2 linked regions of the Rattus norvegicus genome follow. The protein of the gene in region 1 interacts with the protein of each later gene in a pairwise test. Links are inferred from orthologs where the notes say so. Each region holds a gene or a part of one and is shown in the gene's direction. Other genes may lie near its edges.

Region 1 (3,506 bases):
AGGTCAGGACACAGGACGCTGGATATGCCCTCCAGTCGGATGATGTAGTTGCCAGGAATGTGGTCAGAAGTTGGGGGTGGAGGGGTACGTTGTGAGAGGGACGGACTTTCGGAGGGTAATGGGAATTCTAGTCAGCGGGTAATTGCAGCAGAGCTGAGGGTTCTTCAGGATTGCTGGCCAGGGCTTTGGGAAACAAAGGGAACGTGGTGGTCATGTGTGCCACAGCAAAGTGACTGTGTGAGAGCACCCTTGAGGACAGCACTGTGAGAGAAGTGTCTGGTATAAGTTACTGCCACTGTGGGAGAACAAGGCTCAGAAAGGAGGCTGGCAACTCCCGAGAGGTCATCACAGATCAAACCGATGGTTCCGAGGCGAAAGGAAGACTCTGAGTAGGGACAGACTGGGCCGGGAGAATTCCGCTCTAGCCACTGGGGTGCGGCACTGGCATCAAGTTGATGCTCATCCCACTTGGGTTTATTCAGTGGTCACCGTGTGCATCACTGTTGTGAGTTTTCGTTCTCCTGTCACTTCCCCACATCCAAGAGCTTCCTACTGTGTGTGCCTCCATCTCTGGGCACTTGGGAGGGCTCCTTCTCCTAGGAGTAATGTAATTTCTGGAGCCTTCACTAGGATCAGCATATAGTCTCAAGGTGACAGGCCTGGGCCACAGACTTCATACAGAGGTTCCTGGACAGGCTGCCACCTGAACACAGCCACACCCATCTTATGAGCTCCCATTATCAGCCTGCTTTCAGGCAACAACTACACGCCGTGGAGCTGTGTCGGGGACCTTACCTGGGCTTTGGAGAATCTAAAATGTTACTGTGTGGAAAATACTTTCCAACTGCTGATACAGACAATAGAGGCAAAAAGAAACATCTTGAATAAATAGGAGCCTCCCTGGGTGGTGGGTAATAAGTCATTATAGTCTTTATCTTGGTTTCTGTTTTTCTTTTTGTGTCTTGCCACAAATTTAATTTGAAAATGAAAAGGCCTGGAAAGTATTAGAAATAGTATTCGGAGCTCGTTTAACGGTGGGCTTTTGCTCTTCCTCCTTAATTAGTGCTGCTTTTGATACAAAGACGGGACATCGTGTGGCAGTGAAGAAGCTGTCGAGACCGTTTCAGTCCATCATTCACGCCAAAAGGACCTACAGGGAGCTGCGGCTGCTGAAGCACATGAAGCACGAGAATGTGAGTTCCTCCTCTCTGCGCAGAGCAAGGCCTTGTGTGCAGTGCTGCCGGGACACAGCACACTGTAGGGTTGGGTTTGCGTTGCACGAGGGTTCTGTGCCGTGGGGCTGTAAGGTCATAGTAAGGTTGATGGAGCCTCTTCCCAGACTTGTACTCTACTCCACGAGCTTAAGGAGAGTTTAGTTTCCTATTCTTATTTAGTGTCAGTGCATGTGTTTGCCTGCTGGAGTTTACGTGCACCGTGGGGTGCAGTACCTTGGAGACCAGGAGATGGCAGAGACCTGGACCTGGAATCGCAGGTGCTTGAGGCCCACTGGGTGCTGAGAACCAAACCTGGCTGCTCTGCAACAGTAGCCCCTGCTCCTCCCTGCTGAGCCGTCTCCACCCAGTGCTTCCTTTTACGGATCTCTTCATTGGTGCTTCTGTGCATGTGCACATGTGAGGTTATGGATATAAAAAGGCAGCTTGTGGGAATTGGCCCTCAATTATAACTTCAGTTCTAGGGGATCTGTTGCCCTCTTCTGGTCTCAGTGAGTACTGTGTACGCGTGATAACACCCACATAACATTCAGGCAAAACATAAAATGAAAGATTAAAAAACAACGTTTGGGGGGTTGGGGATTTAGCTCAGTGGTAGAGCGCTTGCCTAGGAAGCGCAAGGCTCTGGGTTCGGTCCCCAGCCCCGAAAAAAAGAAAAAAGAAAAAAAAAAAAAAGAAAAGAAAAATGATAATAAAATGTGGAAACGGGAAGAAAAAAAAAAAAACAACGTTTGGGCTGTAGAGATTGCTCAACGGTTAGAGCACTGACTGCTCTCCCAGAGGTCCTGAGTTCAATTCCCAGCAACCACACAGTGGCTCACAACCATCTATAATGGGATCTTCCGGTGTGTCTGAAGACAGCTACAGTGTACTTATATATAATAAATAAATAAATCAAAAAACCCCAAAAACATTTGAAGATGAATTTTTTTAAATTTCTAACTATGTCTACATGCTTGTGTACATGTGGACAGGGTATCACACATGTGGGCAGTGCCGTGGAAGACAGAAGAGGGTGTCAGATCATCTGGATTTGGATCCGGAGTTGCAGGTGCTTGTGAGGCCCCTGATGGGATGCTGAGAGCTGAACTTTGGGCCCTGGACGAATGATTGAGTCATCTCCCCCATCTCGAAAGATGAGGCTCTGTTCATGTTTGTTGTTGCATCTGCAGGCTGCTTACCATCATTCTTATATTAAGATGTTCAGGTTCTAGCAGTTGGGAGCCCCCCATATTAGCGTTTGGTGTGTTTTGTTTTGTTTTTCTAGGCACAGGGTTTCTCTGTGCAGCCCTAGCTGTCCTGGACCCTCTGTAGACCAGGCTGCCCTCAAACTCAGATCCATCTCCCTCTGCCTCTCTAGTGTTCGGATTAAAGGTGTGCGCCCCGAAACTGGCTGTGCTTTGTGTTGTTTGTTTGTTTGAGAGAGACTGGGTCTCTCTCTGTAGCTCTGTCTGGGTTGGAATTACTGAGCCACTCTCCAGCCCTGTTGCTTTGTATTTTTGAACAAAGCAGGCACGGGGGGGGGGGGGGTGGGGGTGGGGGTGGGAAAGACCAGAATACTTAATGTAGAAATTATCTCACCTCTCAGTCTATCAATTTTATGCAGTGAAAAATGAAGACTTGGGGCTGGAGAGATGTCTCAGTGACTGAGGATTTGCTGCTCTTGTAGAGGACCCAAGATTAGTTCCCAGCATCTAGGTTGGGTGACTCACAACCTGCCTGTAATTCCAGCTTCAGGGGTTTACCCTCCCTCCGGCATCCAGGGACACAGGCACAGGAGAGGGCGAGGGTGGGGAGAGACAGACAGACACAAAATAAAGATCACATAAGGAAGGAGTCCTAATTCTTTTTTCGCTGTCTGACACACTAGTGGCCATGTGAACGAATTCTAAGTTGCAGGGTTTCCCTGGCACTGTGTGGAGTGATAGGTCAGGCGTGTGGCGCATGTCTGTGGGCATTTGGGAGGTGGCAGCAGGAAGATCCGGAGTCCAAGCCTGGGCCATATGAACTCCTCTCTGCAAACCCCCAACCCCCAGAAAGAATGATGTTAGCACATGTGTACCAGAAACACAGTCTGGGTAGGAAGCTAGCACACTGGCATACGGCCGTGGCTGCACTTGGATCGCTCTACCTGAAACTCTACAGAGGCACTGCAGCAAGACTGTTGCTTTCCGACTGTTTGATTTTATTTGTTCTTGCAGGTGATTGGTCTGTTGGATGTGTTTACACCTGCAAGGTCCCTGGAGGAATTCAACGATGTGTGAGTGATTTTTT
Region 2 (4,165 bases), on another chromosome or scaffold:
GTTCTGAGAGGTAGGGAGGGCAGTGTTATCTGAAGATTTCTTTTAGGATCGTTGCTCAAAGGGATGTAAAAACGCCCTTTAAAAATAACGTGTCCCGAATTTCCAGAAGAATCTAGGCAGAACGCAAGTGCTAAGAGAGGCCAAAGCGGACGTTGCTGGGCAAAGACACATGGTGGCCAGTAAAACACCTCCCCTTGCAAAGAGGAAGAAACCGCAGAATGTTCCTGACTCGGCACCCCTGCGGAGTGGTGCAATGTTTATGTTTGTGTATCCAACTCGGTGGTGTTGGCAGCAGGCTCACGGCCTACCCCGTAGTCATGGAGTTTTGGGGAAGGACACAGACATCGTTGGGGTCTTCCCAGGTGTGATGGGTACAGTTTGTTCCACAGAGTGGAGGATTCAAAGCTCTCAGTCCTGAGTCATTGGTGTGCTCAGCTTCTGTTCAGTAGAGTTGAAGAGCTAGGCATTAGTGAGGCGGGGACAGGAGGGTCTCTGTGAGTTCAAGGCCAGCCAGGGCTAAACAGCAAGACCTCTCTCAAACAAAACAAAAGAAAGTTGTGTTGGGGGCAGAGGAGCAGTGGCTGGCAGCATCTTCTGATGCCTCGCGACGACAACGTGCTTGACGGTCCTTGGGCGGCGCTGTGGAGCTCTATCCAAGTCCCCCCCCCCCCCCTCCCCGAAAATGTCAAACCTGGGCTCCACACCCGAATTTGCAACCCTCCTCCCTTTGCTCCAAGTAAGTCCTCTAGGGACCATCGTAGTTAAGATAACACTTCGGTGTGGGGGTTGTGGGGGGAGCTAACTGGAGACACTCCTTTGTCAGCGTAAAACTTTTAAAGTGAGATTCAAGAAGGACGTCTGGACTCTCGCTGTTTGTCCTCAGTATAGCCAGAGGGTTATAGACCGAGTTGGTCATCTCTCACTATCCACTTCCCTTTCCCGCTCTGCTCCCGCGCCCACCACCCCAGCAGCCAGAGCGGGGCCAACTGAGACCGTGATCCCAGGAGTGGCCGCGCGCTCGTTAGAGACCCGGGCAGGGGAGCAGGGCAGGTGTCCCCGGGCGCGTCCTCAGGCCGAGCCTTCTGGCCACCCCGGCTGGCAGCGCGCCGTCCTGCCTGCGAGCTCGGAGGGCAGGAGGGTGGGGGCCCGGCCCGGAGCCAGCGCTCAAAGCCGACCCGCTCCCAGGCCGATGACGTCTTTGCTTTTGGCTTTGGTGGCGCCAAGCCCGGCAGGGCGGGTGACGTCACCACCCGGTCACGTGTCCGCCATTCAAACAAACAAACCGTTCCCCCCCTCCTCCTGTGCCGCGCCCGGGACCGCCCCCAAGAGGCCACATAAAACCGCGCTCCTCCGAACCAGCGCGCAGCAAAGGACTGGCGGGCGGGACGCGCGGTGAAGCCAGATTAGGATCAGCGAGCACTTGAGGATTTAGGGCCACAAAAAACCGCACAAGATCGACAGACTATTTCTGGAGAGCTGCAGAACGGGCACGCTGGGGTCGCTGGTGCTGGCCATGGTGATGGAGGTGGGCATCCTGGACGCCGGGGGGCTGCGCGCGCTGCTGCGAGAGCGCGCCGCTCAGTGCCTGCTTCTGGATTGTCGCTCCTTCTTCGCCTTCAACGCCGGCCACATCGTGGGCTCAGTGAACGTGCGCTTCAGCACCATCGTGCGGCGCCGCGCCAAGGGCGCCATGGGCCTGGAGCATATCGTGCCGAACACCGAACTGCGCGGCCGCCTGCTGGCCGGAGCCTATCACGCCGTAGTGCTGCTGGACGAACGCAGCGCCGCCCTGGACGGCGCCAAGCGCGACGGCACCCTGGCCCTGGCCGCGGGCGCGCTCTGCCGAGAAGCGCGCTCCACTCAAGTCTTCTTCCTCCAAGGTACGCGCAGGACTTCTGCCATCAGCTAAGGAAGGGGGGCGTCCCACCTGGAGTGTGAGAGCGCCTGTGTCCAGGGGCTTGTCACTGGCTTTGTTTGACTCCGGGAACAAAGACTTCCTAAACCTTCCTTGTAAACTCGCAGCCCCTGGTGGGTGGGTGACTTGTCTCCAGGTACTGCGTCGGCGGCGGCGTTAATGGGAAAATATGTACCTTTGTATTCTCAGGAGGATATGAAGCGTTTTCGGCTTCCTGCCCTGAGCTGTGCAGCAAACAGTCCACCCCCATGGGGCTCAGCCTCCCGCTGAGTACTAGTGTGCCTGACAGTGCAGAATCCGGATGCAGCTCCTGTAGCACCCCTCTCTACGACCAGGTTAGTAGGAGTCCGGGGTCTACGAGAGGCTGGGAGGTGGCAGAACTGGCAGAGCTCTGGGAAGCTTGTGCCAGGGAGAATAGAGAAAGCGGCTGTAGCTTTATTTATACTAGCGGGGACACGAGGATCTTCATTTCACCATGAAGCAATTGGATGGAGCTGAATTCTCCCAGTTGCTGGCACGGAAGAGCTTGTTGGCTCTGTCCCGGCCAACCGGCTCGATTCTTTACTATTATTTTCATATGTCAACAGCAGTACTGAGGTCACCGCTTTTCAGAAACTCCCTTTTTCAGTCGGGAGTTTTTGTGGGCGTGGGTCCTGGCGTGTTCACGCCGAACAAGCTTGATGAACGCTGGATTGTTTTGGATTTCAGGGGGGCCCAGTGGAGATCCTGTCCTTCCTGTACCTGGGCAGTGCTTACCATGCTTCCCGGAAAGATATGCTCGACGCCTTGGGTATCACTGCTTTGATCAACGTCTCGGCCAATTGTCCTAACCACTTTGAGGGTCACTACCAGTACAAGAGCATCCCTGTGGAGGACAACCACAAGGCAGACATTAGCTCCTGGTTCAACGAGGCGATTGACTTTATAGGTAAGTGGGATAGATGTCTGGGATCTCTGCGTTCTTCTCTACTGTAGCTGCTGAGCCCAACCTTCCTCCTCACTGAGACTTGAATAGTTGGACTGACTGTCTTGTCCAGGATTATACGTGCAGACACCCAATCTGGGTTTAAATCCCTTGCTATCCTTTGCACAGCATATGCACAGTCCCTATGATAGCATGAGGGCGTCTTTGATCAGGGCTCGGCTGTCCTCCTGAGTTTTTGAGTAAGCCATAACTTTGTTTTTCAGACTCCATCAAGGATGCTGGAGGAAGGGTGTTTGTGCACTGCCAGGCCGGCATCTCCAGGTCAGCCACCATCTGCCTTGCTTACCTCATGAGGACTAACCGAGTGAAGCTGGACGAGGCCTTTGAGTTCGTGAAGCAGAGGCGGAGTATTATCTCCCCCAACTTCAGCTTCATGGGCCAGCTGCTGCAATTTGAGTCCCAAGTACTGGCCCCTCACTGTTCTGCAGAAGCTGGGAGCCCGGCCATGGCTGTCCTTGACCGGGGCACCTCTACTACAACGGTCTTCAACTTCCCTGTCTCCATCCCTGTTCACCCCACGAACAGTGCCCTGAACTACCTTCAAAGCCCCATCACAACCTCTCCGAGCTGCTGAAGGGCCAGGGGAGGTGTGGAGTTTCACGTGCCACCGGGACGACACTCCTCCCATGGGAGGAGCAATGCAATAACTCTGGGAGAGGCTCATGTGAGCTGGTCCTTATTTATTTAACACCCCCCCCCCCAAACACCTCCCGAGTTCCACTGAGTTCCCAAGCAGTCATAACAATGACTTGACCGCAAGACATTTGCTGAACTCAGCCCGTTCGGGACCAATATATTGTGGGTACATCGAGCCCCTCTGACAAAACAGGGCAGAAGGGAAAGGACTCTGTTTGAGCCAGTTTCTTCCCTTGCCTGTTTTTTCTAGAAACTTCGTGCTTGACATACCTACCAGTATTAACCATTCCCGATGACATACACGTTTGAGAGTTTTACCTTATTTATTTTTGTGTGGGTGGGTGGTCTGCCCTCACAAATGTCATTGTCTACTCATAGAAGAACGAAATACCTCACTTTTTGTGTTTGCGTACTGTACTATCTTGTAAATAGACCCAGAGCAGGCTTTCAGCACTGATGGACGAAGCCAGTGTTGGTTTGTTTGTAGCTTTTAGCTATCAACAGTTGTATGTTTGTTTATTTATGATCTGAAGTAATATATTTCTTCTTCTGAGAAGACATTTTGTTACTAGGATGACTTTTTTTTTATACAGCAGAATAAATTATGACATTTCTATTGAGTTCTCGGT

Evidence for each region. The genes of interacting proteins can lie anywhere in the genome.
Region 2: the proteins of Mapk14 (region 1) and Dusp1 interact in binary tests that used the Homo sapiens proteins (3 or more experiments, as listed by UniProt). The link is inferred for Rattus norvegicus from reciprocal best matches to the Homo sapiens genes MAPK14 and DUSP1.

The regions. Positions count from the first base shown.
Region 1 is NC_086038.1:6,775,359-6,778,864, forward strand, and holds part of Mapk14 (mitogen-activated protein kinase 14), read left to right. Parts: intron 1-1,063; coding exon 1,064-1,193; intron 1,194-3,433; coding exon 3,434-3,492; intron 3,493-3,506. UniProt on the Homo sapiens protein: Serine/threonine kinase which acts as an essential component of the MAP kinase signal transduction pathway.
Region 2 is NC_086028.1:17,183,491-17,187,655, forward strand, and holds Dusp1 (dual specificity protein phosphatase 1), read left to right. Parts: upstream 1-1,362; 5' UTR 1,363-1,513; coding exon 1,514-1,880; intron 1,881-2,104; coding exon 2,105-2,250; intron 2,251-2,623; coding exon 2,624-2,843; intron 2,844-3,103; coding exon 3,104-3,474; 3' UTR 3,475-4,156; downstream 4,157-4,165. UniProt on the Homo sapiens protein: Dual specificity phosphatase that dephosphorylates MAP kinase MAPK1/ERK2 on both 'Thr-183' and 'Tyr-185', regulating its activity during the meiotic cell cycle.